Linked DNA regions of Macaca fascicularis. The protein of the gene in region 4 binds, or shares a complex with, the protein of the main gene of each other region. Links are inferred from orthologs where the notes say so. Each region holds a gene or a part of one and is shown on either strand. Other genes may lie near its edges.

Evidence for each region.
Region 1: PRPF8 (region 4) and SNRPD3 share a complex: the UniProt entries of both Homo sapiens proteins name them as parts of the U4/U6-U5 tri-snRNP complex. The link is inferred for Macaca fascicularis from reciprocal best matches to the Homo sapiens genes PRPF8 and SNRPD3.
Region 2: PRPF8 (region 4) and PRPF6 share a complex: the UniProt entries of both Homo sapiens proteins name them as parts of the U4/U6-U5 tri-snRNP complex. The link is inferred for Macaca fascicularis from reciprocal best matches to the Homo sapiens genes PRPF8 and PRPF6.
Region 3: PRPF8 (region 4) and LSM2 share a complex: the UniProt entries of both Homo sapiens proteins name them as parts of the U4/U6-U5 tri-snRNP complex. The link is inferred for Macaca fascicularis from reciprocal best matches to the Homo sapiens genes PRPF8 and LSM2.
Region 5: PRPF8 (region 4) and SART1 share a complex: the UniProt entries of both Homo sapiens proteins name them as parts of the U4/U6-U5 tri-snRNP complex. The link is inferred for Macaca fascicularis from reciprocal best matches to the Homo sapiens genes PRPF8 and SART1.
Region 6: PRPF8 (region 4) and LSM5 share a complex: the UniProt entries of both Homo sapiens proteins name them as parts of the U4/U6-U5 tri-snRNP complex. The link is inferred for Macaca fascicularis from reciprocal best matches to the Homo sapiens genes PRPF8 and LSM5.
Region 7: PRPF8 (region 4) and PPIH share a complex: the UniProt entries of both Homo sapiens proteins name them as parts of the U4/U6-U5 tri-snRNP complex. The link is inferred for Macaca fascicularis from reciprocal best matches to the Homo sapiens genes PRPF8 and PPIH.

What each region holds. Positions count from the first base shown.
Region 1 is NC_088384.1:28,879,729-28,883,844, reverse strand, and holds the start of SNRPD3 (small nuclear ribonucleoprotein Sm D3), read left to right. Parts: upstream 1-1,316; 5' UTR 1,317-1,405; intron 1,406-2,997; 5' UTR 2,998-3,015; coding exon 3,016-3,141; intron 3,142-4,116. Other genes in the region: protein GUCD1, read right to left, coding at 279-321. UniProt on the Homo sapiens protein: Plays a role in pre-mRNA splicing as a core component of the spliceosomal U1, U2, U4 and U5 small nuclear ribonucleoproteins (snRNPs), the building blocks of the spliceosome.
Region 2 is NC_088384.1:120,163,527-120,167,026, reverse strand, and holds part of PRPF6 (pre-mRNA-processing factor 6), read right to left. Parts: coding exon 3,434-3,500; intron 2,148-3,433; coding exon 2,028-2,147; intron 981-2,027; coding exon 804-980; intron 380-803; coding exon 246-379; intron 1-245. UniProt on the Homo sapiens protein: Involved in pre-mRNA splicing as component of the U4/U6-U5 tri-snRNP complex, one of the building blocks of the spliceosome.
Region 3 is NC_088378.1:139,906,423-139,910,382, forward strand, and holds the start of LSM2 (U6 snRNA-associated Sm-like protein LSm2), read left to right. Parts: upstream 1-1,160; 5' UTR 1,161-1,323; coding exon 1,324-1,413; intron 1,414-1,754; coding exon 1,755-1,822; intron 1,823-3,960. UniProt on the Homo sapiens protein: Plays a role in pre-mRNA splicing as component of the U4/U6-U5 tri-snRNP complex that is involved in spliceosome assembly, and as component of the precatalytic spliceosome (spliceosome B complex).
Region 4 is NC_088390.1:1,799,951-1,803,450, reverse strand, and holds part of PRPF8 (pre-mRNA-processing-splicing factor 8), read left to right. Parts: intron 1-1,040; coding exon 1,041-1,170; intron 1,171-1,563; coding exon 1,564-1,760; intron 1,761-2,023; coding exon 2,024-2,230; intron 2,231-2,364; coding exon 2,365-2,528; intron 2,529-2,679; coding exon 2,680-2,806; intron 2,807-2,919; coding exon 2,920-3,112; intron 3,113-3,391; coding exon 3,392-3,500. UniProt on the Homo sapiens protein: Plays a role in pre-mRNA splicing as core component of precatalytic, catalytic and postcatalytic spliceosomal complexes, both of the predominant U2-type spliceosome and the minor U12-type spliceosome.
Region 5 is NC_088388.1:8,419,510-8,423,009, reverse strand, and holds the end of SART1 (U4/U6.U5 tri-snRNP-associated protein 1), read left to right. Parts: intron 1-778; exon of another isoform or gene 779-794; coding exon 795-968; intron 969-1,047; coding exon 1,048-1,158; intron 1,159-1,406; coding exon 1,407-1,494; intron 1,495-1,984; coding exon 1,985-2,075; intron 2,076-2,185; coding exon 2,186-2,321; intron 2,322-2,977; coding exon 2,978-3,067; intron 3,068-3,170; coding exon 3,171-3,292; intron 3,293-3,397; coding exon 3,398-3,416; 3' UTR 3,417-3,482; downstream 3,483-3,500. UniProt on the Homo sapiens protein: Plays a role in mRNA splicing as a component of the U4/U6-U5 tri-snRNP, one of the building blocks of the spliceosome. May also bind to DNA.
Region 6 is NC_088377.1:97,812,454-97,816,614, reverse strand, and holds the start of LSM5 (U6 snRNA-associated Sm-like protein LSm5), read right to left. Parts: upstream 2,801-4,161; 5' UTR 2,632-2,800; coding exon 2,508-2,631; exon of another isoform or gene 2,499-2,507; intron 2,304-2,498; coding exon of another isoform or gene 2,211-2,303; exon of another isoform or gene 2,029-2,210; intron 2,005-2,028; exon of another isoform or gene 1,898-2,004; intron 1-1,897. Other genes in the region: late secretory pathway protein AVL9 homolog, read left to right, coding at 2,211-2,303. UniProt on the Homo sapiens protein: Plays a role in pre-mRNA splicing as component of the U4/U6-U5 tri-snRNP complex that is involved in spliceosome assembly, and as component of the precatalytic spliceosome (spliceosome B complex).
Region 7 is NC_088375.1:192,210,766-192,214,869, forward strand, and holds the start of PPIH (peptidyl-prolyl cis-trans isomerase H), read right to left. Parts: upstream 2,801-4,104; 5' UTR 2,777-2,800; coding exon 2,711-2,776; intron 2,379-2,710; coding exon 2,314-2,378; intron 1,996-2,313; coding exon 1,972-1,995; intron 1,703-1,971; coding exon 1,658-1,702; intron 343-1,657; coding exon 300-342; intron 1-299. UniProt on the Homo sapiens protein: PPIase that catalyzes the cis-trans isomerization of proline imidic peptide bonds in oligopeptides and may therefore assist protein folding. Participates in pre-mRNA splicing.

The DNA.
Region 1 (4,116 bases), on a different chromosome or scaffold from region 4:
TCCTCCACGGTTCCCCAAGGCACGAGAGCTCCCAAGGCGGCTCCAGTAGGACTTTTCGCTTCTGGGGAAGGTGGCGCCCCTTCTACCCGGACCCTCCCACCATGCGGACAAGGGTCGCAATCCTGCCAGTGTCAGGAAACCCCCACTGACTGGAGCGAGGCGGGTGTGGGGGTGAGGCGGGAGTCGGCCCAAGGTCGCGCGGCTGGACCCTGCCCCGCGCTAGGGCGGGGTCCCCTTCGTTCCTAGGGTGAAGACTGGGCCCACAGAGAGGCACTGACCGGGCTCGAGCGGCGGCCCCGCTGCCTCCGCCTCCGTCCTCATGACCCGGGCGGCGCGGGGCGCCCATGGCCCCGGCCCAGAGCGGGCTACAGCTTCCGCTTCGGCTGGGGCGGTAGGGCGGTCGGTGCGTGTCGAGTTCCTTCTCCGCCACCGCCGCCGCTGCGGAGGGGAGAACCGGAGGCGGTGGCTGGGCCGCCCCAAGCCCCGCCCCAGCCCTTCCAGGTCTCGAATCTGGAGGCCCCGCCCTTTCTCTAAGCCCCGCCCCAAACTTTGATCCTAGAGGCCCCCAGCCTCCCGATTTAAATCTGCCCCGGCCATTCACCGCCTCAGCGTCGAGTGACCCAGCCCTCTCGTCCAATCCTCGCGCAGCCGCGAAGCCCAACAAGACGCGGACCCGGAAGCTCCGCCCCTTTCCTTGAGCCCCGCCCCAAAGCCCGTGCATTTCGTGAACAGAGGCTCCTCCCTTCAGCAAGCCCCGCCTCTGCCGGGGCCCGCTCCTTTGCCAGTCTTAGCTGTAAACCCTGGTCCGGCCCAGTGTATTCCGGAGGCTCCAAACAACTCTCCTTAAACTGCCTTTAGGGATGACCCTGAGCCGGCCTCCTCTCTACTCTATACCTAACTTTATCCGTACGAGATACGTAGCCTCACTCAGGGCGCCCCTTACCTGGCGGTGCTGGGATCAAAAAATTAAATTGTGAGGGGAAGTCCTGGCCCTTGGCCCAACCTCCTGCTGCCCCCGGTCTGAGGGCCCAGGCCCCGAGTCTCCGCCTTGCCGTCCAGCCTGTCCTTGGTGTGGGGCGCTTGGAAGTGCAAGCACCCTCTCTGGCTCTTTGCCGGCCCCAAGGGTCGTTGTTTGCGGCGGTCCCCGGGCCCAGTCTTCGGCCCTCTTTTCCGGTGCCGGAACTATCGTACTGGTGCCTTAGTTTCCCAGCCGGCACGCGGGGTGAGGAGGAAGCGGAGGCGACACCGCTCTCACCACTGGGGAAAGGAAGGAGGCGGGCCCTGCGCGCAGCATTTTGGGAACGAGTGGAATTCTGGGAGCTGGGCCCGCCATTCTCTTGATTCACGCCTTCGCCGTAGCGGCTTTCGCCGTGCACCGAAGAGAAGGAAAAGTAGGCCAGAACCGGTGAGGCTGGGGACGGGCGAGGGGAGGTCGAGGTGCCTGTGAGGGGCCGGGGGCTGGAGAAAGACTCAATGCATGAACTCTGCGGGATTCGGGGAGGGAAGAAAGCGGGAAGTTTGGACCACCCAAACATCAGCGTCGCCTCACTAGCGCCTGGAAGTAAGTTCATTAGCTGCTCCCTCAATGTGCATGCTTCTTACATTCTGTATCTCTCCAGGTGAGTGTTTTTCAAAGTTTCCAGGCAGTAATCTTGAAGTTATTTCCTATGAGTTTTTTGAATCTTGAAGTCAAATCCTATGAGGGTTTTTTTTTTTTTTTTTTTTAAAGTAGAGACGGTTTCACCATGTTACCCTGGCTGGTCTCGAACTCCTGGGCTCAAGGGATCCACCGGCTTCGTCCTTCAAAAGTGTTGGGACTACGGGCGTGAGCCATCGCGCCCAGCCGGTCATTTTTTAAAAAGTTCTTTGCATGTCTGCCCCCAGCTCCCTTTCAGGCAGTGGTCCCGTCATGCTTTCCACACTGTTGCAGCAGTTTTAACTGTTGCAGAAATTTTAACAAGTTTCTCTGCTTCTAAACCTTACGTTAGATCCATTTTGTAAATAAATGCTGCTACCTTTTCATTGTGTCATTCTTTACCTATAATTTTGCAGTGGTTCCCCACTATCTTCAGCATAAAATCTAGGCTCCTAAGGCTGAAAGCCAGGGATCCTCACCAAAGGAGCCTGTCTTTTCAACCTCATGTTCTCCTGTCTTAGGTGCACTTAGGTTCCAACTTTGAGTCGTCGCTCATGTCAATAAAAAGTTCACTACTTGATGCTTTTAATTAGGTCAAGTCAGGTGCTTTCCCTTATTTTCCTCCATGACGGGCATTTCCTGCATATAGCACGTTGTCACTTCGATATTTTCTCAATATCCTTGATGGTAAAGTAAGGGAAGGGTTAAAGAGCTGCATTAAAAGTACAGTCTCCTCTCCTAGATATGCATGGTCCTTAGGTCTGTATCTGCTCCTTCCGTAGGGTAGCCACCAGCTACATGTAGCTGTTGAGCACTTGGAATATGGCCACTGGGATTGAGGGACTGGGTTTTTTATTTTAATTCTATTGTGTTTTAGTTAAGTTTAATTTAAATAGCTACATGTGGACATGAGCTACTGTATTGGACAGCTCAGGCCTGTGTTATGATTCTCAAAATATAATAATCTACAATTAAGGGTTGACAAATAACAGTGCAACAGATTAACATTCCAATCCCCCTCCCCTACACACACAGTATTCGCTAATGGTCCTTTAGCTGAAGATTAAGGGACATAGGGTAGCAGGGACACATGGTCGATGGGAGATGCTCTCTTTTCATTCCTATTTTTACTTCTGTCCACCCCACCATTCCTCCTCACCCGACATCTTGCACATATTTGCCAGATAGTTTCCTCCAAGCCAGGAGCTGAGCTTTCTTTTTTCTTTTTCTTTGATAGAAAATGCAGCTTTGGCGTTTTTGCTAAGTTTTATGGAGTGCCAGGCCTTGAAGGAGGCATGACGTGTGCCGCATGCCTTCTCAGACTCTGAAAGATGAACTGACTGTTGTCTCTTTCACTGTAGAGCTCTCTTCCTGCCAAGATGTCTATTGGTGTGCCAATTAAAGTGCTGCACGAGGCCGAGGGCCACATTGTGACATGTGAGACGAACACCGGTGAGGTATATCGGGGGAAGCTCATTGAAGCAGAGGACAACATGAACTGCCAGGTATTCTGCTTTGCATGTGAGGCTGTGTGGGAGGAATGGCCCTGTGTCTTGAAGGACAGAAAGGTGTGGGTTGGGGGTCTTCTGTAAATTGTTCTCATTCAGCAATGATTTCCTGAGTGCCTAACACATACCAGTCAGGTGCTGTTATAGGCTCTGGGGATGTGGGCATGAACAAAACACATAGTCTTGAGGCAGAAAAGCCATTTGGAGATTTGGAATATTTTACTTCGCCTTTTTTGTTTTTTCCATCCCCAAATTTGGGGACCTGTTTGGGAGAAGTTCCTTCAGTAGAATCCTTCAGGTTCAGAGCCATTATCCATTTGCCTCCACTTGCTTTGCAGTTAGGAGAATCTTCTCACATACTGTGTTTGTTTCCCTTTTCTCTTGGAGGAGGAGTCTCATTTGATTATTGCAACTACCTTGTGAGGTAAGCAGGTTTGGTGGTAGTCTTGTCATCCATAAAATAGGGAGAATGAGATTAAAGGACTCATCACTCTGATAGTAAATAATGGAGTAGTTTCTTGATACGGTGTCCTTCTCATGGCGCAGCTTTGCCTTTTGCATAGTCATCTGAATTTTTATAGCATTGTTTTTCAGTTGTATCTTCACACTTTCTTTGTTCTTTAAACCATTGGTTAAGAACTTGGACTTGGGAGTCAGAGAGAGATGTGGGTTTGATTCCTAATTATATGACCTTAGATGTATTAATCACTCAGTTTTCTCATCTGTAAAACGGGAGTGTTATTATTTTGGGTTCTTTGATGTAGATGCCAAGACAGAATTATGCAAGGTATTTATTGGGGGAAATGACAATAAAGGATAAAGGAACAAGGAAACAGTAGTAGGCAGGGAAATTTTCAGTCCGTGATGCTGGTCTGACTGGTGAAACGAGAGGGGAAAGAAGGAGGATTGAGCAGGAAGAACCTTAGACTACAGTGTAGTTTTGAGGAAGTCTCAGCAAGGCAGTGATTGCTC
Region 2 (3,500 bases), on a different chromosome or scaffold from region 4:
AGGCACCCTCCATCAGAACACAAACTAAACTGCATCAAACCATCTGCAGGCCTGTCCCAGTACCTAAGCCGAACCCTCCCAAGGCAGGGACCGTGATTTTTCGTGGCCAGCACCTACTGCCTCGCAAGCCCCCGAGCCTGGAAACACTGCACAAGTCACTCCACACAAGCAGCTGGGTGAGGACGGCCCACCTGATGGGTAAGCTGTGCCAAGAGCCCAGGCTGCCCCCACTCATCAGGACTCACCACAGCCCAGGGTTCTTTGGGTTCTTCAGACGAGACTTTTCCAAAATGGCCCGGGCTCGAGTTAGCTGCCCAATCTTCTCCTCCAGCCGAGAGAGCAAAAGCCACAGGGGTGTGGAGTGGGGACACTTCTTCAACTGCAGCCGACAAGTGAGAGAGCAGCTCAGGTGGTGTCTATGAAGAACTGGGACGCAGCCATGCCAGCTGCTCACTGCAGTGGGCGAGCCAGCACCTCAGGACTGCCTGTGTCCCACTCTGCATTTGTGGGTTTACGAGTGTGCGGTGGTGCTGTGGACCTGTGCACACAGGTCTGTACATACCAGCCTTTACTTCAGGTGTGCCACGCTCTGCACTTCTGAGAGCAGCGTGTGCAGCTTCATACAAGGCAAAGCACAGAACTCAGTGAGGGGACCGGGGTGTGGGTCCTGAGCCCACAGCTCCCTCGCTGTAACCCCCAGCCCTCCACATCTCCTCAGAGGTGAAGGGCAATGGCCCTGCACCAGGGGGCTCAGTTCTGTGAATGCCGGGCCAGCTGCAGCCCGAGGGTGCAGGCAGACATACCCCCTGGTTATAGGCTTCCCGCGCGTTCTCCATCATCTCCTTCTGCTCCTCGATCTGCCCCTTCATCATCCACAGCTTGGGGAAGTCCTCATAGTGCCGCAGGGCCTCCTCGCACAGATCCTGGGCTGCCCTGATGTTGTCTTGCACCCACTCCAGCTTCACAGACTTCATGAACACCTGTGGGGCAGACACGCACCGTCAGCAGGGCATCGGCTCCAAGGCACGTGCTTCGTGTTACGCTCGTCCTCGACACTGTTACCTGCAGCACTGTGGGTACTTTTGTAAGCTTTTCATAGCCTGTTTGTGTACACAAAAGGTGGGGATAAATATATGAGTATGTTTTTGTTTTGTTTTTTTGAGATAGAATCTTGCTCTGTCACCCAGGCTGGAGTGCAGTGGCGCGATCTCGGCTCACTGCAAGCTCTGCCTCCCAGGTTCAAGTAATTCTCCTGCCTCAGCCTCCCCGAGTAGCTGGGACTACAGGCACACGCTACCACACCTGGCTAATTTTGTATTTTTAGTAGAGACGGGGTTTCACCATGTTGGTCAGGCTGGTGTTGAACTCCTGACCTCGTGATCTACCCTCCTCGGCCTCCCAAAGTGCTGGGATTGCAGGTGTGAGCCACCGCGCCCGGCCGCATGCAGGTTTTGTTGTTGTTGTTGTTGAGTTTCCCTCTTGCTGCCCAGGCTGGAGTGTAGTGGCGCAATCTCAGCTCATGGCAACCTCCGCCCCCAGGTTCAAGCAATTCTCCTGCCTCAGCCTCCTGAGTAGCTGGGATTATAGGCATGTGCCACCACGTCCAGCTAATTTGTATTTTTAGTAGAGACAGGGTTTCTCCATGTTGGTCAGGCTGGTCTCAAACTCCCACCCTCAGGTAATCCATCCGCCCTGGCCTCCCAAAGAGATGGGATTACAGATGTGAGAGCCACCACGCCCGGCCACACGGATGTTTTAAAGTCACATCACAAAGATGAGTGTGCTGTGTGCTGAGATTACAGGCGTGAGCCACCATGCCTGGCCATATGAATGTTTTAAAGTCACATCACAAAGATGAGTGTGCTGTGTGCTGAGATTATAGACGTGAGCCACCATGCCTGGCCATATGAATGTGCTCTGGTCTCGTTTGCCTGCTGTCATCTCACATCACCACTCAAGCCAGGTGCGGGGCCCACGTGTGCACACCACGCACCCCGGATGGCCCAGCCCTGCCTGCCACTGCGTACCCGGGCGGTGGGGGCGCTGCTCCGCGCCTTGGCCAGCAGCCTCCGGGCCCGCTCGTACTCATCATTCTCGGACTCCAGCTTCACGGCCGCCAGCCAGATCTCCTCGCTGTTGGGGTTGGCCTGGAGGGCAAGTACAGCAGCGTCAAGAGGGGTCAGAACACAGGGACCAGCGCCTGATCACACTTAATCAAAAGCAGGCAGGCAGGAACTGAGCCAGGCCTTGTTCTGCTGCAGGATTAGTCCGGCCCAAGCCCTTCCCAGGGAGGAGATGACAGAGCAGACTCCAGTGCAAGAATCCGGACTCACCTGGAAACACACAGGTCCATGTTCACTCTAGTACAGCGCGGACAGCGAGGAGGCTGCCAAAGCACTGAGCAATAATGGGGGTGGGAGCAGGGCCATCTTATCCAGGATCCATCCACACCCTCTCAAAGCCCCTGAATGGGTCACTCACACCCTATAGAGACCCACCACACCCAACCTCGCTCTTTGCCCTGAGCCTGATGAAAGGAAGCCAGCTGTTCTGTCCTCATGAGCCCACATGGGCAGGAGAGAGGACTCCCAGAGTGCCACTGACATGTGGAGAAGGCGTCCACAGGCCGAGGAGGCTCACACAGCCCAGAGCCCAGTGGACATGAAGGCTCTGCCCTCGGAGCCTCCCCAGGGCTGGTGCCCAGGGCTGTCTGAATGCATCCTAATCAGCACAGCCGCTCACTGACCATGCAAGATGACCACATCACAGACCTGAAAAGCAGCCCAAAAACGATGGGCAAGGAAAGCCGCCTGACAGGCAGCAGAGAGCGGGCAGGCGGAGGGGACGCTGCGGTCACCCACAGGAGTGATGCCATCTCAAACAGGCAGCTGAGAGCGGAAGGTAAAACCCAGGCCAGGCCCCTCTCATGATGTTTGCTCAAGGAAGGGCACGCTCTATGACATTAGCCTGCGCTGCAGTAACTGACGTTTATACAGCATTCTACAGTTTATTAAAAAGTATGTCATGAAGTATTAGGATGCTATATGTGAAAATAAAGACAAGTACTTAAAAAAACACACACACACCTCATGACAACCAGGCACCCTCAGACAACCCGGCTCAGCGAGGCTGTCTGAATGCGTCCACTCACGTAAGGGCACCCTCAGCCCGTGTGACCCCATGCTCTACACTCTGAAACATTTACCCGTGGTCACACGGCGTCGGGGGCCAAGAGGTACGTATCTGCCAGGTGGCTGCTTTCCTACTCTCAGGCCCCTTCACGGCCCCTGCTCCCGAGGAGCAGCCCCTGGACTCCAGTGCACCCAGCCACAGCACGTGCCACGTTGTATGTGGGAGATGTTCAGGCCCCAGTCAGCACCCAGGTCAGCTCCTGTGTGCACAGGCCCCTCACCGCACAGGCGACCTCACCCACCTGGAAGGCCAGAGCCAGGATGCTCCTTGCTGCGGGCACATCCCCTGCCAGCCACTTGGACTTGGCG
Region 3 (3,960 bases), on a different chromosome or scaffold from region 4:
TTTTTTTTTTTTTTTTTTAAAGACGGAGTCTCTCTCTGTCACCCAGGCTGGAGTGCGGTGGCGGGATCTCAGCTCACTGCAAGCTCCGCCTCCCGGGTTCACGCCATTCTCCTGCCTCAGCCTCCCGAGTAGCTGGGACTACAGGCACCCGCCACCTCGCCCGGCTATTTTTTTGTATTTTTTAGTAGAGACGGGGTTTCACCGTGTTAGCCAGGATGGTCTCGATCTCCTGACCTCGTGATCCGCCCGTCTCGGCCTCCCAAAGTGCTGGGATTACAGGCGTGAGCCACCGCGCCCGGCCAATTTTTTTTTTTTTTTTGAGACGAGTCTCGCTCTGTCGCCCAGGCTGCAGTGCAGTGGCATCATCTTGGCTCCCTGCAACCTCCACCTCCCGGGTTCACGCAATTCTCCTTCCTCAGCCTCCCGAGTAGCTGGGATTACAGGCGCCCGCGACCACGCCTGGCTAATTTTTTTTGTATTTTTAGTGAAGACGGGACTTCACCATGTTGGCTAGCCTGGTCTCGAACTCCTGACCTCACACAATCCATCCACCTTGGCCTCTCAGAGTGCTGGGATTGAAGGCGTGAGCCACCGCCCTCGGCCTTTTTTTTTTTTATCAGCTGAATTTAAGATTAAAAACATTTTTTAATTTTATTTTTTGAATTTTATGTTTTTACTTTAACAAATATAGAAAAGTGCACACTTCATAATCTTCACAAACTCCCCACAATTCTCGATAGGATGTGTGTAGAGGGCACGAACACATCACGCTGTGGACGGCAGGGTTATGGAAAACAAAACCTTTTGAGCTCAGACGCCGAGTGCCTCCACCCGCCTAGCAGCCCAGGCTAGGGTCCGCGCCTGCGCAATGGGAGCCGGCCGGCCCTGGAAGAAGTCGGAACGAAGGAAACCCCGCCCCTTTCCCGGCTTCCTCCTCCCCTCGGTTTTACCCAGCTTGCGCTCCCCAGCCGCAAGTCGGCCGCGCTTTACCCTTCAGCGCTTGGAGGGTTCTGCGTCCCTTCCCGCTGCGCCTGCGCGGTCCCGCCTCGCCCCACGCGCGGGCTCGCGCTTCGGTTCTCCCAGACCTGGTCTCAGCATCCGGCTCTTTTCTCGCTCCGGCCCGCTGCCCGCTGCGCCAGCACCATGGTGGGTACCGTGACGTCAAAAGGGGTCGCCCTCGGGGATCTCGGACGGTTGGGGCAGGGGGGTCTGGCCTTTGTCCCCCTAGGCTGGAGTTAGGTCCGGAGTTTTTATCTTCATCGTTAGTCCTGTTCCTCAAGTTCGTTGAGGAGACACCTGAGAGCAAATGGGATTTTTTTTTCCATGATGAGGAAAAAAACCCCAACCCTGAGAGAGATTCAGTGGGGACAGCGGGAGACGGAAAAGTTAGACCTTAGAGCACTTCTCTGCCAGGCAAGCTTCGGCAGGGTGCGGGTGGGATGTTTTCTGTAATTCATTGAAAGGAGTGGGCAGGTACCCGAGAAAGGTGGTCGATTGAGAGAGCACACTGGGGAGGCCGAGGTATGCAGGGCAGAGCCTCTCTGGGACTTTAAGTGATGGGCTCAATGCAGTGTGCAGAATAATTTGGGCTCCAGCCTTTCACCTCTCAACCAATTATTCTTTCCTGTGAAATTTTGAGAACTGTTAGGGATGCAATGGGGTTCACAATACCGGTATTTGGTAATACTGTCAAGGGACACTCCTCCCTACCATGTTCCTTCCCACATGATGGTTTTCCCCCTCTCTCCCAATAGCTCTTCTATTCTTTTTTCAAGTCCCTTGTGGGCAAGGATGTGGTCGTGGAACTCAAGAATGACCTGAGGTAGGTACCTGTTCCAACAAGTCTGTTGGGGGTGGGTGTGCCCAGGGCCCTGGAACCTCTTTAATTTGAGAAATATTTGAGGGCTGGGTGAGGTGGAATATGTACAGAAGAAATAAATGGCCGGGTGCGGTGGCTCACGCCTGTAATCTCAGCACTTTGGGAGGCTGAGGTGGGCGGATCACGAGGTCAGGAGATCAAGACCATCCTGGCTAACACGGTGAAACCCTGTCTCTACTAAAAATACAAAAAATTAGCCAGGCATGGTGGCAGGCGCCTGTAGTCCCAGCTACTTTGGAGGCTGAGGCAGGAGAATGGCGTGAACCTGGGAGGCAGAGCTTGCAGTGAGCCCAGATCACGCCACTGCACTCCAGCCTGGGTGACAGAGCGAGGCTCTGTCTCAAACAAACAAAAGAAATAAATGGGTGGGGTGCAGTGGCTCACGCCTGTAATCCCAGCACTTTGGGAGACTGAGGAGGGAGGATTGCTTGAGCCCAGGAGTTTGAGGCTGCAGTGAGCAGTGATTACTCCATTGCACTCTAGCCAGGGCAATAGAGCAAGACCCCATCTCTAAGACAAATTTTAAAATTTAACAATAAATAAATGCCTTGTGCCTTAAATTTACAGATAAGCTTGGGGATTGTATTGTGTATTGGAAAACAATACAAAGCAATATACAGTTTAAAGAGTAAATACTGGTCAGGTGTGGTGGCTCATGGGCTGGACGTGTGGCTCATGCCTGTAATCCCAGCACTTTGGGAGGCCGAGGTGGGTGAATCACGAGGTCAGGAGTTCAAGACCAGTCTGGCCAAGATGGTGAAACCCCGTCTCTACTAAAAATACAAAAATTAGCCAGGCATGGTGGCAGGTGCCTGTAATCCCAGCTACTTGGGAGGCTGAGGCAGGAAAATCGCTTGAACCTGGGTGGCAGAGGTTGCAGTGAGCTGAGATTACGCCACTGCACTCCAGCCTGGGTGACAGAGTGAGACTCTGTCTCAAAAAAAATAAATAAAGAGTAAGTACTAGGCTGGCCATGGTGGCTCACACCTGTAATCTCAGCACTTTGGGAGGCTGAGGCAGGAGGATCACTTGAGTCCAGGATGTCGAGACTAGCCTGGGCAACATAGAACCATTTCTATAAAAGATTAGCCAGATGTGGTTTACATGCCTGTAGTCCCAGCTATTCGGGAGACTGAGGTGGGAGGATCACTTGAACCCAGGAGGTCGAGGCTGCAGTGAGCCATGATTGTACCACTTTACTCCAGCCTGGGTGACAGAGGAAGACTGTCTCAAAAAAGAACAGGCCAGGCCAGGCGCAGTGGCTCACGCCTGTAATCCCAGCACTTTCGGAGGCCGAGATGGGCGGATCACGAGGTCAGGAGATTGAGACCATCCTGCCTAACATGGTGAAACCCCGTCTCTACTAAAAATACAAAAAATTAGCCTGGTGTGGTGGCGGGCGCCTGTAGTTCCAGCTACTTGGGAGGCTGAGGCAGGAGAATGGCATGAACCCAGGAGGTGGAGCTTGCAGTGAGCCAAGATGGCACCACTGCACTCCAGCCTGGGCGACCAGAGCGAGACTCCATCTCAAAAAAATAAACAAAAAAACAGAACAGGCCATAGGCTGGGCATGGTGGCTCATGCCTGTAATCCCAGCACTTTGGGAGGCTGAGGTGGGTGGATCACAAGGTCAAGAGATTGAGACCAGCCTGGCCAACATGGTGAAACCTACGTATTAGATATGCTACTGTGTATCTAATACCTAGTATAGGCCAGTTGTATGATAGGTGCTTAAGGAAAGAAAAATAATATCTGAAGACCTATTGACTAAGCACTATTCTGAATACATTTATTGATTGATTTCTCAAACACTCCTTAGTAATATGTACTATTGCTGTTATACATATGAGGAAACTGAGGCTTAGATCAGCTATACCACTTGTTCAAGTCTACAAAACTAGTAAGTGATACAGAACAGAAATATGATTATGTCCAGCTTTTTTCTTTTTCTTTTTTCTTTTTTTTTTTTTGAGATAGTCTCGCTCTGTCGCCCAGGCTGGAATGCAGTGGTGTGATCTCTGCTCACTGTAAGCTCTGCCTCCCGGGTTCATGCCATTCTCCTGCCTCAGCCTCCCCAGCAG
Region 4 (3,500 bases):
GGATTACAGGTGCCCGCCACCTGTAATCTAGCTTTTTTTTTTTTTTTTTTTTTTTATTTATCTATTTTTTTTTTTTGAGACTGTCTTGCTCTGTTGCCCCGGGGGAATGCAATGGCACGATCTCGGCTCACCACAATCTCTGCCTCCCGGTTCAAGCGATTCTCCTGCTTCAGCCTCCCGAGTAGCTGGGACTACAGGCGCGCACCACCATGCTTGGCTAATTTTTGAATTTTTAGTAGAGATGGGGTTTCACTATGTTAGCCAGGCTGGTCTTGAACTCTTGACCTCAGGTGATCCACCCTCCTTGGTCTCCCAAAGTGCTGGGATTACCAGCGTGAGCCACTGTACGCAGCCTCACTGGACTTACTTTCTCACATCTTTTTTCATTTATACATGTAGACAGGGCTCTTTCCAGGGACCTATTTGGAGACCAGCTATGAGTGTATCCTTACTGCCCCTTTAAATTCACATGGGCAGTCTTAGTTCCTGGTTTTTGCCTTAAGGTTTCTCATTTACCCTTTTGTTTTAGATGTTGTTTAGATGTTGAGGACCCAGAGTTGTTTTTTTCTTTTTACTCCTCTACTGCCATCCATATATTCGTCTGTATGTGTATATATATATATATATATATTTTTTTTTTTTTTTTTTTTTTTTTCTGAGACGGAGTCTGGCTCTGTCACCCAGGCTGGAGTGCAGTGGCGCGATCTCGGCTCACTGCAAGCTCCGCCTCCCGGGTTTACGCCATTCTCCTGCCTCAGCCTCCCGAGTAGCTGGGACTACAGGCGCCCGCCACCTCACCCGCCTAGTTTTTTGTATTTTTTAGTAGAGACGGGGTTTCACCGTGTTAGCCAGGATGGTCTCGATCTCCTGACCTCGTGATCCGCCCGTCTCGGCCTCCCAAAGTGCTGGGATTACAGGCTTGAGCCACCGTGCCCGGCCTGTATGTATATTATACATATATGCCCCACCTCTGCCCAGGTTTCTGTTGCTGTTTAAATGCATTGCTAACTTGTGTTCTTAACTTCTGCTTGGGATTATAGGGCCCTGTAGGGAAGGGTCCTGGCTGTGGCTTTTGGGCTGCTGGTTGGCGAGTCTGGCTGTTTTTCATGCGTGGCATTACCCCTTTGTTGGAGCGATGGCTGGGCAACCTCCTGGCCCGGCAGTTTGAAGGTGAGTGGTTTTCTCTGTGTCCAACTTCTCCTGTTACTGCTTCAAAGCTACCTCTCGTTGTCTGAGTCTATTCCCTGCTCTTGTATGAGCACCCCTTCCTACTGGATTGCCTTCAGGTTCAGTTCTCAAAATGAGTCTGACCTAGTTTTCTATTTCTTGGGCTTCCTTCTGGGGCCTTGAGAGGCAATCATGCACTTGCAGGAGTGGACATTCTTCAGAAGCGTAGTTGTGAATGTTTAAGGTAGCTCATCTTTTTGCATATGCTGGGCACATGGACGCTTTGTTAATACCTAATTTTATTGTGACCATAATAAGTGAGGGACATGAAGGTAGAGACCCTTACTGAAAGCAAGGAATCATGCTTGTAATCCCCTTGGGATACTCTACTTCTAGGTCGACACTCAAAGGGGGTGGCAAAGACAGTAACAAAACAGCGAGTGGAGTCACATTTCGACCTGGAGCTGCGGGCAGCTGTGATGCATGATATTCTGGACATGATGCCTGAGGGGATCAAACAGAACAAGGCCCGCACAATCCTCCAGCACCTCAGTGAAGCCTGGCGCTGCTGGAAAGCCAACATTCCCTGGAAGGTGGGCGTCTCTGCATTTCCTTGGAGGGGTGAACATCGTCTTTAGGTCAGGATCACCACTCTGGGACTCATGAGGGGCCTATCTGGCTCCCACCTCTTTTCTTTTCTCTTTTAGAGAGGTGCTTGCTGTGTTGCTTAGGCTGGCCTCAAGCTCAAGCTCCTGAGCTCGAGCAGTCCTCCTCAGCCTCCTGAGTAGCCGGGACTACAGGTGTGCACCGCAGCACCTGCTTTATCCCGGCTTGATTGTGCTTTTTGGACTTTTAGGTCCCTGGACTGCCAACGCCCATAGAGAATATGATCCTTCGATATGTGAAGGCCAAGGCTGACTGGTGGACCAACACTGCCCACTACAACCGAGAACGGATCCGCCGAGGGGCCACTGTGGACAAGACTGTGTGTAAAAAGAACCTGGGCCGCCTCACCCGGCTGTATCTGAAGGCAGAACAGGAGCGGCAGCACAACTACCTGAAGGTTGGGCAGAGTAGGCTGGGCTGGCTGTGAGCGGTCGGGGAGTGGGCATGAGGGAGGACTGCAGAGTTGTGACTGAACCTTGTTCTCGGGGGAGCGGGCTATAGCGGGAGGCTAATTTCATGTCCACCTTGCAGGACGGGCCTTACATCACGGCGGAGGAAGCAGTGGCAGTATATACCACCACAGTGCATTGGTTGGAAAGCCGCAGGTTCTCACCCATCCCATTCCCCCCACTCTCCTATAAGCATGACACCAAGTTGCTCATCTTGGCATTGGAGCGGCTCAAGGAAGCTTATAGGTGAGTATTAGGGTAGATAGGTTCCTGCTGGGAAGGTGACAGGAGGGAATAGCATCACCCTCAGAGTCCAAAGAGAGAAGGTGTAGCCCCAGTCTCTTCTGGTTTTACTTCCTCCTGGTTTTCCCATTCACCGTTGCCATTGCCTTATCAGTGTGAAGTCTCGGTTGAACCAGTCACAGAGGGAGGAGCTAGGTCTGATTGAGCAGGCCTACGATAACCCCCACGAGGCGCTGTCCCGCATCAAGCGTCACCTCCTCACACAGAGAGCCTTCAAAGAGGTGAGTGAGAGCCTCCCAAGTTTTCTTTTTGGTTCTGCCTTTCATTCTTGGTAGAACCAAAGGTAGCAGGTTGCCTCAGGTGATTGGTGTGAACCAGCCTCCTTGTACCACAGGTGGGCATTGAGTTCATGGATCTCTATAGCCACCTGGTTCCAGTATACGACGTAGAGCCACTGGAGAAGATAACTGATGCCTACCTGGACCAATACCTGTGGTATGAAGCCGACAAGCGCCGCCTGTTCCCACCCTGGATTAAGCCTGCTGACACAGAACCACCTCCACTGCTTGTTTACAAGTGGTGCCAAGGTAGAACTTTCCTGAGATTGCCCTGTGAGGAATGGGGGATGAATTTAGTTCTATGTCAAAATTCTCATCTGGGCAGCATGATTGGTTTACTCTCCTGATGCATGGTAGTAAAAGGAAGTAGTGTTCCTGTTAAACTGAGGAAAGCCCATAGTCAAAGCAATCCGGATGCCTACGTGGAATGGTAGTGGGATTGGTTGTGGAAGGTGATGATAGTTACTGTGGGGCTAGTCCTGAAAGAGGATTTCTAACCTGCTGGAGACCTGCCTTGCTACTCCTCAGGCATCAATAACCTGCAGGACGTGTGGGAGACAAGTGAAGGCGAGTGCAATGTCATGCTGGAGTCCCGCTTTGAGAAGATGTATGAGAAGATCGACTTGACCCTGCTCAA
Region 5 (3,500 bases), on a different chromosome or scaffold from region 4:
CTGAGATCGCGCCACTGCACTCCAGCCTGGGTGACAGAGCCAGACTCCGTCTCAAAAAAAAAAAAAAAAAAAATGAATGTCATATAAAATGGAAGAGGGATGCAGAAGTGGACATAGTGACTCGAACCTTCACTAAGGAGTGAGGAGTTTGCTGTTGGGGCTGCAGGGTTGAGGAAGGAGTTTTTTTAAGAGGGGAGATAGTGGGTAATCGTTGCGTGTGGCTGGGCATCTGCGACAGGAGGGAAAGCAGAGGGTGCTGGTGCCTGTGTGGGGGTCGCTGGATTCAGTGCTGGCAGCACGAGCGAGTTCTCTTCCCATGTCACGGAACCTGCTTTCTTGGTGAAGCAGGAAGCGAGAAGCTAGGCTGTGGGAAGTCAAAAGAGTGGGCCACCTCACCGCACTGCGGGTTCTAGAAGTGCTGTCTAGAGAGTCCTGAAACGGGTTTGTTGGGGGAGGGGCGAGTGGCAGGAGGGACCCTGGAGGAAGGAGCTTGAGGCTGAGGTAGTGTGCGAGGGGCTTTGGAGGGGGATCGGCACAGGCCTGGTCAGGAAGGCCCTGTAGGATGTTGGGTGTTCATTTAAAGGGCATCCAAACCCATTGACGGGTTTGGAGCAGAACAGTGACCCCAGTGAAAGAGGTGCAGAGTGGAGTCAGGAGGCAGAGAGCAGCTGGGCCTGCATGGGCTGTGGGCGTGGCTTGTCTTGCTGCTGCCAGGGAGGACCCTTGGGTTCTTGGGTCTCAATGGCATCACCCCAGAAACTGCTGGGTTTGCCCACAGCTGCTCCCTCCCCCAGGTGGTGGAGATTGTGAAGAAGCTGGAGTCTCGCCAGCGGGGCTGGGAGGAGGATGAGGATCCTGAGCGGAAGGGGGCCATCGTGTTCAACGCCACGTCCGAGTTCTGCCGCACCTTGGGGGAGATCCCCACCTACGGGCTGGCTGGCAACCGCGAGGAACAGGAGGAGCTCATGGTGCGTCTGGGGCGACCCCACCCTGCACTTCCCTGGGCTGGCTGGGCGCCTGCACCAACCCTGGCCTTTTGTGCCCCAGGACTTTGAACGGGATGAGGAGCGCTCGGCCAACGGCGGCTCCGAATCTGACGGGGAGGAGAACATCGGCTGGAGCACAGTGAACCTGGACGAGGAGAAGCAGCAGCAGGATGTGAGGGCTGCGCCGCTGGCGGGTGGGCATGGGGGTGGCGCTCAAACTAGAGATGAGCACTGGGCTCAGTGTCCAGAGCCTCAGCCTCCTCATCCAGAGTGGGCTCTGCAGACCTCTCAGGGCGATCTGAGGAGTAAATGAGGAAATTAAATGTTGTGGAGGCCTGGTGCCTGGTGGGTGGTGACCAGTGGGTGGGGCTGAGAAGAGCCGGTATGGGCTGCTAACCACTTCTGTCACATGTCCCCTAGTTCTCAGCCTCCTCCACCACCATCCTGGACGAGGAACCGATCGTGAATAGGGGGCTGGCGGCTGCCCTGCTCCTGTGTCAGAACAAAGGTAGGGAGCTCAGGGCAGCCCTAACTTGGGTGGGCCTGGGTGCTGCAGCAGGAAAAGGGCTGGTGAGGGCCTGCGGTGCGGCAGGTGCAGGCAGGGTCCCCTCTGGTCCCCTCTGCTGCCCCTTTCAGTCCCAATGCTGGAGCCAACTCCCTGGCCCAGAGCCACTCCTTCCCCTCCACCCCGGCGTCTGTCCGTCTGCTCTGCCTGTGAGGCTCCACACGTGCTCCAGGAAGGAGAGCGGAGTTGAAACTGGTCTAGCTGTGGCACAGAGAGCCCTGGTGTTAGGACCCCAGCTCTGCATTTCCCTGGCCAGTGGCCCTTGGCATGGGGCGCGTTTCTGGCATCTTTGCTTTGCCTGTAGAACAGGCCTGATGGCTTTCCAGAGACAAGGAAAGGGAGGTCCCCCCGCAGGGCCTGCTCTACGTTCTCAGGCGGCCCTGGAGCTGCGGCCCTCAAGGGGTTGGGAGTCTCACAACCCCTCCGTCCCTAGGGCTGCTGGAGACCACAGTGCAGAAGGTGGCCCGGGTGAAGGCCCCCAACAAGTCGCTGCCTTCAGCCGTGTACTGCATCGAGGATAAGATGTGAGTGTGGCGGGGTGTGTGCAGGGCTGATGGGCCTGTGCCAGCTCGGAGCTGCAGGAACACAGCAGGCAGCAGCTCCTCACACTAAGGCCCCCTCTGTCTCGGGCCAGGGCTATCGATGACAAGTACAGCCGGCGGGAGGAGTACCGAGGCTTCACACAGGACTTCAAGGAGAAGGACGGCTACAAACCTGATGTTAAGATCGAATATGTGGATGAGACGGGCCGGAAACTCACACCCAAGGAGGTGAGCAGGCGGAGGCCCAGCCTGCCACAGGGAGGCCAAGCCCAGGGCCGTGCAATGCCCCAGGGTCCTGGCTCCATCAGCCTCTGGCCGGGGGCCTGGTGAAGTGCCACGGATAGGGAGGGGGCCCTCAGGGCCGAGAAGGGCTCTGCCTTAGTTAGTCTCTAGTGGGCACAGCAGTCCTTTCACAGGCCAGGCAGGAGGGTCCAACAGGCACTCGGGACCTCTGCCCTCCTGTCCTCACCCGTGTGAACCCTTCAACGCTTTCCTGGCCCGCAGGGCCATTCCAGCATCCAGACCCTTCCATCACTCTTGTAGGCTGCCCGACCCTCCTGCCCACCACTCAGCTGCCCCCATGCTCTCTGGGGTTTGTCTCCCTCCAGCCCCAGCGTCCAGGCCCCGCCCCTGCGTGGCAGGTCACCAGGTTCCCTGTACTCTGCCACCATGGCAGCACATCTGCTAGCCAAGCTGGTCTCCCGGCCTCTGCTGGGGCCCTGCAGAGTGCCAGGGTCTGTGCCCTTTTCCTATCCCCTTCCCACCACCCCAGGCCTGGCATTGGGGTGAATCAACACCCGCCCTGTTACTACACACCTTGTGGGCACAGGTGGCTCCGGCCCCAGCCAGGGCTCTGCAGCTCCCCTCATGCCCTGTGTCCCCAGGCTTTCCGGCAGCTGTCCCACCGCTTCCATGGCAAGGGCTCAGGCAAGATGAAGACAGAGCGGCGGATGAAGAAGCTGGATGAGGAGGCGGTGGGTGCTCTTGGGGACGTGGGGGGCCTTGCGCCTGCCGGGGCAGGGGTGGCTGGTGTGTGGGGCCTACTGCAGCCCTTGTTGAGTGGCCCTGACCCCGCAGCTCCTGAAGAAGATGAGCTCCAGTGACACGCCCCTGGGCACTGTGGCCCTGCTCCAGGAGAAGCAGAAGGCTCAGAAGACCCCCTACATCGTGCTCAGCGGCAGCGGCAAGAGCATGAACGCGTGAGTGACTCGAGGCTGGTGGGGTTGGGTGTGTGGGGTGGGGAGGGGAGAGGTGGCGTGGCCTGTGCCCGCCTCTGCAGCCTCACGCCCTGTTCTTCTCTGCAGGAACACCATCACCAAGTGACAGCGCCCTCCCTCCCCAGCCCCGCCGCAACCTTCATATTAAATAAAGCTCCCTCCTTATTTTTTCCTCCCTGGTCGTGGTACA
Region 6 (4,161 bases), on a different chromosome or scaffold from region 4:
GATGGGGTTTCAACCATGTTGCCCAGGCTGGTCTCCAACTTTTGGCCTCAAGTGATCTGCCCGCCTCGGCCTCCCAAAGTACTGGGATTACAGGCATGAGCCACCGTGCCTGGCCCTGTTTTTGCATACATCTTTTTTTTTTTTTTTTTTTTTTTGAGAGGAAGTCTCGCTCTTGTCCCCCAGGCTGGAGTGCAATGGCGCAATCTTGGCTCACTGCAACCTCCGCTTCCCAGGTTCAAGCAATTCTCCTGTCTCAGCCCTCTGAGTAGCTGGGATTACAGGTGCCTGCCACCACGCCCGGCTAATTTTTGTATTTTTTAGTAGAGATGGAGTTTTACCATGTTGGCCAGGCTGGTCTAGAACTCCTGACCTCAGGTGATCCACCTGCCTTGGTCTCCCAAAGTGCTGTGATTACAGGCGTGAGCCACCACGCCCGGCCCTTATAGATATCTTTAAAAGGTGTTCATTAGACAGTAATTTTAGCCATGTTAATTGTGGAAAATACCAAGACAGTTTATATCAAGAAAATGTTAATAGTTAACACATCACACAGTTGACATCTCAAAACAGTTAATATATTAAGAAAACAGTTAATATATTCTGCATACAGGGAGCAATATAGTTTTACAGTTTTCTGAGCCAATGCCAATAATTTTGTAATACAGAAATGTATAGCAACATCTTGAAAAATGTCTACAGTATTAGCATTAAAACAGTTCTACTGAATCACAGAAACTAAATTTGATTTAGGAAGCCTACTGTTTTTCTCCGCTATGCTTAGATTAGAACAGAGCTCCTTATTTTTCAAGACCAGAAGTGCAAAATATCATAGTTACTGTAGTAATCTCTAATTCTACTTGAAGCAGACTCCTATCCTTTAGGTTATTTGAAAACTGTCGTAGATAAGACTTGTTAAATCTGCTAGTGTTTCTAGAATGCACTTTAAATTGACATGATTCACTGCTTAAAAAAAAAAAATTGCAGTACAGTCAGTAATTAAAAAACCCTGGTGACAACAGAACCCATATATTTTGTATTGACCTTCCTTCCTCCCACTCCACCAAAGCAGAAGCTAAAAACCTACAACCTACACATATCAACCTGCTCCTCCGCTGCTCATAACCATTTTTCAGGCGCAGAAGGAAGGGGTTGTGGGGGCTGGGCTTCATGTGGGGCAGGTGGGAGGAGTTGCAAAGGAGTCAGGTTGAGAGGCTTGGACTCTGCTTTCAAGGTAATAGGCTCAGAGTACTAAACCCAAAAAGAGATGGAATGAAAATAATACTCTTTTAAAATCGCAGGACTAGAATAACCATTTTACAGGTATCCAAGTAAACTTCCTTTATTGTCAAGGATATTCGGTTTCAGGTTTTAAATGCGTCTCAGATTGCTACACATAATATTTAAATGAAGGGGAAAAAAGCTCTAGAAACAAACAAACAAGAATTCTCGGGTAAGCAAGTAATTTAAAGGCTGAATACACAGATACGCAACCTCACCAGTATGCTCCACGTTATTACATATTTGAGAATAAGGACGGAGGCCACAGAGGCAAAGGCAAGGAGGTGAAGGAATCGGACACTCGGAGAGTGAATCGAAAAGATGTGAAAAAGCAAGGAAAACAGAAAAGAAGAGGGAAGGGGGAAAACTTTAAGGAGGAAAATGAGAAGGCAAAAGAGAAGGAAGTGCTTTGAGATTGAATCCAGGGAGGAAAAAGCAGGTGTGCCACGCCGCACCTCCAGGTCCCGCGGACACTACAGGCTCCGCAGGCCCAGCCGCCCGGGTCACGTAAGCCCCACCCCGCTGCTCCACGTCAAGGCCCCCTCCGGTCCCCCCCCCGACCCCCCGAACCCCCGACCCCCCGCCCCCGTCCAGTCGATCGCTTTTTTCCTAGCCCCACCTAACTCCCCCAGGCTCCACCTCGGTCTCTCAGAACCCCCAGCCGTCAGGGCCCTCCCGGCCTTGCCCCGCCCCGCCTCGCCGGCAGCTGCCGCCGCGTCAGGTGACAGCCCGGAAGCTGCGGAAGCGGATGAGAGAAGGGCGGCCGCGGCCCTGGGGGCGGGAGCTGCTCTCCCTCCACAGATCTCCCGGTGCGGCCCTCATGTGCTGCGCTCGCTGACACCCGAAGTCCGCGGCTCTCCGCACACGGTGGGGTCGTCAGACCCGCTGCCCTTGGCAGTCGAAGTCGTAGTGTGGGCCCGCGGCGGCCGCCCATGGAGAAGGCCAGGAGAGGCGGGGATGGCGCCCCCCGGGGGCCCGTACTGCACATCGTGGTTGTTGGCTTTCACCATAAGAAGGGCTGCCAGGTGAGGAAAGGGCCCGCCCCCGCCCCCGGCCGTTCGGGCGTTCGCGCCTCCCGGCGCCCCCTGCCTTCCTTCTGTGTTCCCAGCTCGCGTCGTGCAGTCCTCCCCACCGCGCCCGCGACCCTTCGCCTCTCAACCTGACTCCTTTGCAACTCCTCCCACCCGCCCCACATGAAGCCCAGCCCCCACAACCCCTTCCTTTTGCACCTGAAAAATGGTTATGAGCGGCGGAGGCGCAGATTGGTATGTGTAGGTTGTAGGATTTTAGCTTCTGCTTTGGTGGAGTGGGAGGAAGGAATCGAAGACCGGCCCCACTCTCTTCCCCGTCCATTATTGTCTCCACTGGCTTTCTGGGTGTCCACCTATAATGGGAGTCTAGAAAAATTCAGTGCTTGGACTCTGCTTTCAAGGTAATAGGCTCAGTGGGCTTGCATACTAATACTTCAGGTAGCTTGCGCACCTGCAGCCTCTGTAGAAAAATCAGCTTCCTTTGTTTATCTGATGGAAGCCTTGGAATCTGTCGTGTTAAGTACGGTTGTCGATTAACCCTGCCTCCCCCTTCCCATTGGTCCTTAGTTTTGCTATTTCATCTTCTCCGGATTTTACCTTTTGGTGAGAGATTAATCTCTCCAGATCAACCGCAATAAGAGAAAGCGTATTACCGACCAAACCGTTCAAATATAAAGGTGTTTTTCAGCAGCCTCATTGAATCTTTAATCCATCATCTGAAATGGAATATTTGCGATCTGTATATTGAAGGCAAGAGAACAAAATAGAAACAGGATTATCTAATGAGCAAGCAAACACTGGAAGGGAATGATGTCATAATGTGCTAGTGAACAGTAAATTGAAATGCTTTTTTGAAGTATTAAAAATAGTAATGGCCACCACTAGCTCATGAAGCGTTTAGTTTCTTGCATTCCGCAGGAAATGTAACATTTTAGAAGACGTATTGGCAAAAATTAAGTTCTCTAGGGAATAACAGAAAAAGTGATGGGAGTGAAAAAACTGTGCGTAATTTTGAAATATATCCTCACACCTGTAATGGCAGCACTTTTAGAGACTGATATGAAAGGATCACTTGAGCTCAGGAGTTTGAGACCAGCCTGGGTAACAAAGGGAAACTGTCTCCACAAAAAATTTTAAAAATTAGCTGCATGTGATAGCGCACTTGTAGTCCCAGCTAGTCGGGAGGCTAAGTTGGGAAGATCTCTTGAGCCCAGGAGGCTGAGGCTACAGTGGCCCTTGATCCCACCACTGCACTCCTGCCTGGATGAGAGAGCAAGACCCTGTCTCAAAAGAAAATTTTGGCGCCGGGTGCGGTGGCTCAATTCTGTAATCCCAGCACTTTGGGAGGCCGAGGCGAGTGGATCACCTGAGGTCAGGAGTTCGAGACCAGCCTGGACAACATGGTGAAAGCCCCGCCTCTACTGAAAATACAAAATTAGTTGCACGTGGTGGCACATGCCTGTAATCCCAGCTACTTGGGAGGCTGAGACACGAGAATCGCTTGAACCCGGGAGGCAGAGGTTGCTGTGAGCCTTGCACTCCAGCCTGGGCAACAAGAGCGAAAAAAAAAAGTTTTGAAAATTGTGTATTACGTGCATAAGTCTTATAATGACTGGTCTAGAATCTGTTCTTTATAACCTGTACATCAGGTGTTTTTAGAGGCTTTAATTAAAGTATGTAAGATTTGCCCCAGGATAGATTAATCAGCTACCTAATTCTCCACGTTACTATTTTACTTCCAGGTGTAAAGGATTAGAGGTGCGTGGCTCATTGAGTTGTGACTCTGACTTCACGTGGTTTTAACTTGTGTGAGGGTACTTAGACTGCTCTTCCAAGTATTCAAAATTGCCGT
Region 7 (4,104 bases), on a different chromosome or scaffold from region 4:
TGAACCTATCATAGATCATCTACAGGGTATTCTTAAAAAGTCCAATTTCTGGCTCAAAAAGGCTGAGATTTGGACCATGGAAGTTAATGCCTCAATCAAAGTGCTAAAGTCTGTTATCTACAGTCAGTTGTACCTAGCCACTTTCAAGAACTTCCCCATCACCATTCTCTCCAACACCCCCATCAAACCTGGCTATTGTTCTCAAGCCTTAAGACTGGGTCTCTGTAGTAAAAACAGCAATTGCAACAATAATAAAAACTAAAACTACAGGTCTTTGATAGAAAAGGAATAGTACTTACATTAACAAAATCTCCACCCTGAATCATGAAATCCTTTATGACCCTGAAACAGAGAGCAAAGAATACTGAGAGAAGATTTTATGGAGACTTTGTTATTATTGTATTAGATTAACATTGATTTCAAAATACACTATAACTTTGGCTATTATAAAATCACCATTCTTAGCTGGGTGCGGTGACTCACGCCTGTAATCCCAGCAGTTTGGGAGGCCGAGGCAGGCAGATCACATGAGGCCAGGAGTTTGAGACCAGCCTGGCCAACATGGCAAAACCCCATCTCTACTAAAAATACAAAAATTAGCCAGTCGTGGTGGCACATGCCTGTATTCCCGGCTACTTGGGAGGCTGAGGCAAAAGAATTGCTTGAACCCAGAAGGCGGAGGTTGCAGTGAGCCAAGATCATGCCACTGCACTCTAGCCTGGGTGACAGAGCGGGACTCTGTCTCAAAAAAAAACCAAAAACCAAAAACCAAAACAACAAAAAAAGAAGATTATTCTTTTCCTGGAATGATTAAGCTGAAAGGATAATTAACCATAAAAAAGGATTTTAGTTATAAATTAGGGCATGTTAGAGTTGATCAAGTGCATGATCTGGTACCTGAACAGTAACAAGAAGAAGGGGCTGAAAGCCTGCAGGAAGAATGACCACATTACTTGCCAAAGCAAAAGGCAGATCAAGGATTTGATGTAAATTTGGGGGAAAGAACTACAGAGAATTTATGTGAAAGGTACTGCTACACATGTAAGGGCTTAACAATTGTTAGCTATTACCCCTAGGGAGGGTCCTTAACCTTTGTTATCCTCAGTTTCCTCCTCTGTAGAATGCAGATCACACATACCACTTCACAGGAGTCTTACTGGGGATTAGAGACCCACAGTTCTAAAGCTGTGATATAATTATGTGCTAACATTGTTACTAACCACAGTGAGGCCATGAGAAAGATTCTATATTGAAATGAGACTAAGTGTTGCCATACTCCACTCCCCAGGAAATATGATTATCCTTGGACAATCATATATGATCATTTTAGGAATTAGTTATAAATAGCAACCAGCAGGATATATTATATGCACTTTAGGATTACAAGTGTACTTCTTTAAAAATCTGCATTTGCACAAACAAGTGCATGAAAAAGACAGGATATTGTAAAGATGAGTAGTTTCTGTTTTAAAGACATAAGAAGTGGGAGAGTATAAGTAGAGTTAGAATATTTAATAAATCTTCAGTTATTGAGTCCACAAAAACATTTCTTCTCAAGAAATGTAAGAATTACCTCTGGTTTTATTTTCCTCTAAAGAGCCTAATCCCCCAGGAAATATTTCTGAAAGACTCTAGGATGGCTTGCCAAAAGCCTTACCTGTGGAAGGTGCTTCCTTTGTATCCTATTGGAACCCCATCTTTTCTATAACAAAAAGAAAGAGACTTGGAGTGATAGCAGGTAGCACAAGGCCTTTCCAGTTTACCATGCACTGGAGCCAAAAGGACTCTCCTAAAGATGGTTGACAGACATAAAGAAGGCAAATAAACTAGGGACAGACCCTTGGGGCATTACCTTCTATCACTGTCACCAGCAATCATTCAAGGCCAGCAGCTGGTTCACCGATACCCTCACCGCAGCCCCAGAACACCCTTCTGGAGCAGGCAAAGAAGTCAAACACATCTGAAACTGACCTGAATTCTCCGGTGCAGAACTGCCTGAAAGGGACAAAAAGTGAACAATTCAATCACTATGACATCACAGTCGTGACCGCCTCTAAAGACGGGAAAGAATAAACAATGGAGCCAGCAAGTCCACCAATCCGCCAGCCAGACGTCCAAACACGGAGACGTACAGACTAACAACGTAAATTAACACGGGAACAATCCAAACGGCAACCAGACAGAGCAAAGCACGGAGGAATCAGGTCTCAAGAGCAGTGAGCGGACGGACAGAGGTAGACAGGCTATTCAGGCGGCTGACTAGAGCCCGACTTCTGCCTTAGCTAATCCAGCGGAACTGGAGCACGTCCTTACCTAAAGTTCTCGGCCGTCTTAGGCACAACGTCTGCAAAGAGCTCGATCTTCATGCGGCCAACTTCCTGCAATCAGCGGGAGACTGTCAGAAGGCCCAGTCCAAGACCATGAGGGCTTCACGGAGCTGGGGGCAGGATGGGCTGACCCACCACCCTGCCGCTCGGTATCACCCACCTCCGCCTCTCTGGTCTAACCACCCAGTTCCTCCAGAAGCGGGGCGCTAGGATTGGGGAGACTTCTCCTCATTTCTCCCCGCCCTGCAGGTCGGTAGGTTCGGGTGCAATTTCGCTTTCTGGCTGGCTTCCCGAGTCCGCTCTCTCTGAGTGAGTTCTGCCTGCCTAGCTAGCCCCGAGCAGTTTCCCTTCGGCGCAGGTGTGGGTAGCGTCCTGGATCTCACCTGACCGCCAATGCTGACATCAAAGAACACCACGGGGTTAACAGGACTTGAATTTGCCACCGCCATGGCTCCGACCCGGAAGCAGAAGTCGGGAGCATGGGATTCCGGCGAACCTAAAGCCCTGTCCGCGGGTTTCGTCCGGGGAGCAGGCGCGGTGGACGCAGAGAGAGACCGGGCCCCGCCCCCGGAAGCTGTCGCCCCGTGCCGTGTGTGCTGAGGCTGCTGGGGTCTAGCTGGGAGACTCTCCCTGAGACGGGGGACGCGGGAGTGAGGAGGAGGAAAGCCTTGACATCTTTTTGGTTAAGGTCGATGGTCACCCCACTCACGTGGCTGTACTAAGGGCAGTACAAGTTGATCTTGCTCTAGCTAGGGCTTTTGGACTAGGCAGTCGCCAGGGTCCTCCTTATCGGCTCTTGGAACCAAGCCCTCTACACCGCCACACGTGCTGTGTCTGTCTTCTGCCCGCTAGTCTGTGAACACCGTGAAGGCAGGAACTCTGGTTTGTTCATCCTCAGCGTTTAGAACAGCTTGGCACGTAAAGGCTTGCTAAGTAAATATTTGTCCCTTCCTCTAAGTCAGGACAATAGATTAGGTTTCCGTTCTGCCACAAGCTCCCAGTTTGGTCATTTCCAATTCGTTTCCCACAGAGTAACTAGAGTTTTTTATTTTTTATTTTTAAAATACCTCTTGTGATTCCTATTTATTTTTAAAATAACTCCTGGCTTCCTATATTTAGAATAAAATCCAATTCTGTACATAGGAAGCCCTCCAGTGCATTAATCTGGCTATTACCTACCTGACCTCATCTTGTACCACTTGCCCTTAGTTACTGTGCTCTGACCTGTCTGCTCCTCCAGGTCACTGAGATCCCTCCTTTCTTTAAGGCCTTGTAATAGCTGTTTCTTCTGTCTGAAATATTCCTTCCAGATCTTAATGTGGGTTGGCGGGGTGATGGTGGGGTTTGGTTGGGCTATGTGTGTGGGAAGTAATGCTCCTTGTAGTTCAAGGCTCACCCCAGATGTTACCTCCTCAGAGGCAACATTAGACCTAATCTAAAGTAGCCCTTGGTCACTCAGATCACTGGTTTGTTTTCTTCATGCCACCCCCCATTTCACATTTGTATGGTATGTGTCTGCACCTCATTTCCTGCCACACACACATACATCTTCCTCCCTAATAGCATATAAACTCCATGAAAGTAGAGACTCTCTCAGTCCTGTTCGCAGCTGTAGCTGCAATGTCTCCTACTGAATAGCACATAGTAGGTAAATATAATAGATTCAATGAATTTAGTGAAAGAAGGGGAACTTGGGCAAGACTCATTAGCTATAACAGCATGCATTTAATATAATAGTTATTATTTCCTAGGTCCTTTGATCATCTTTTCTAGCTCT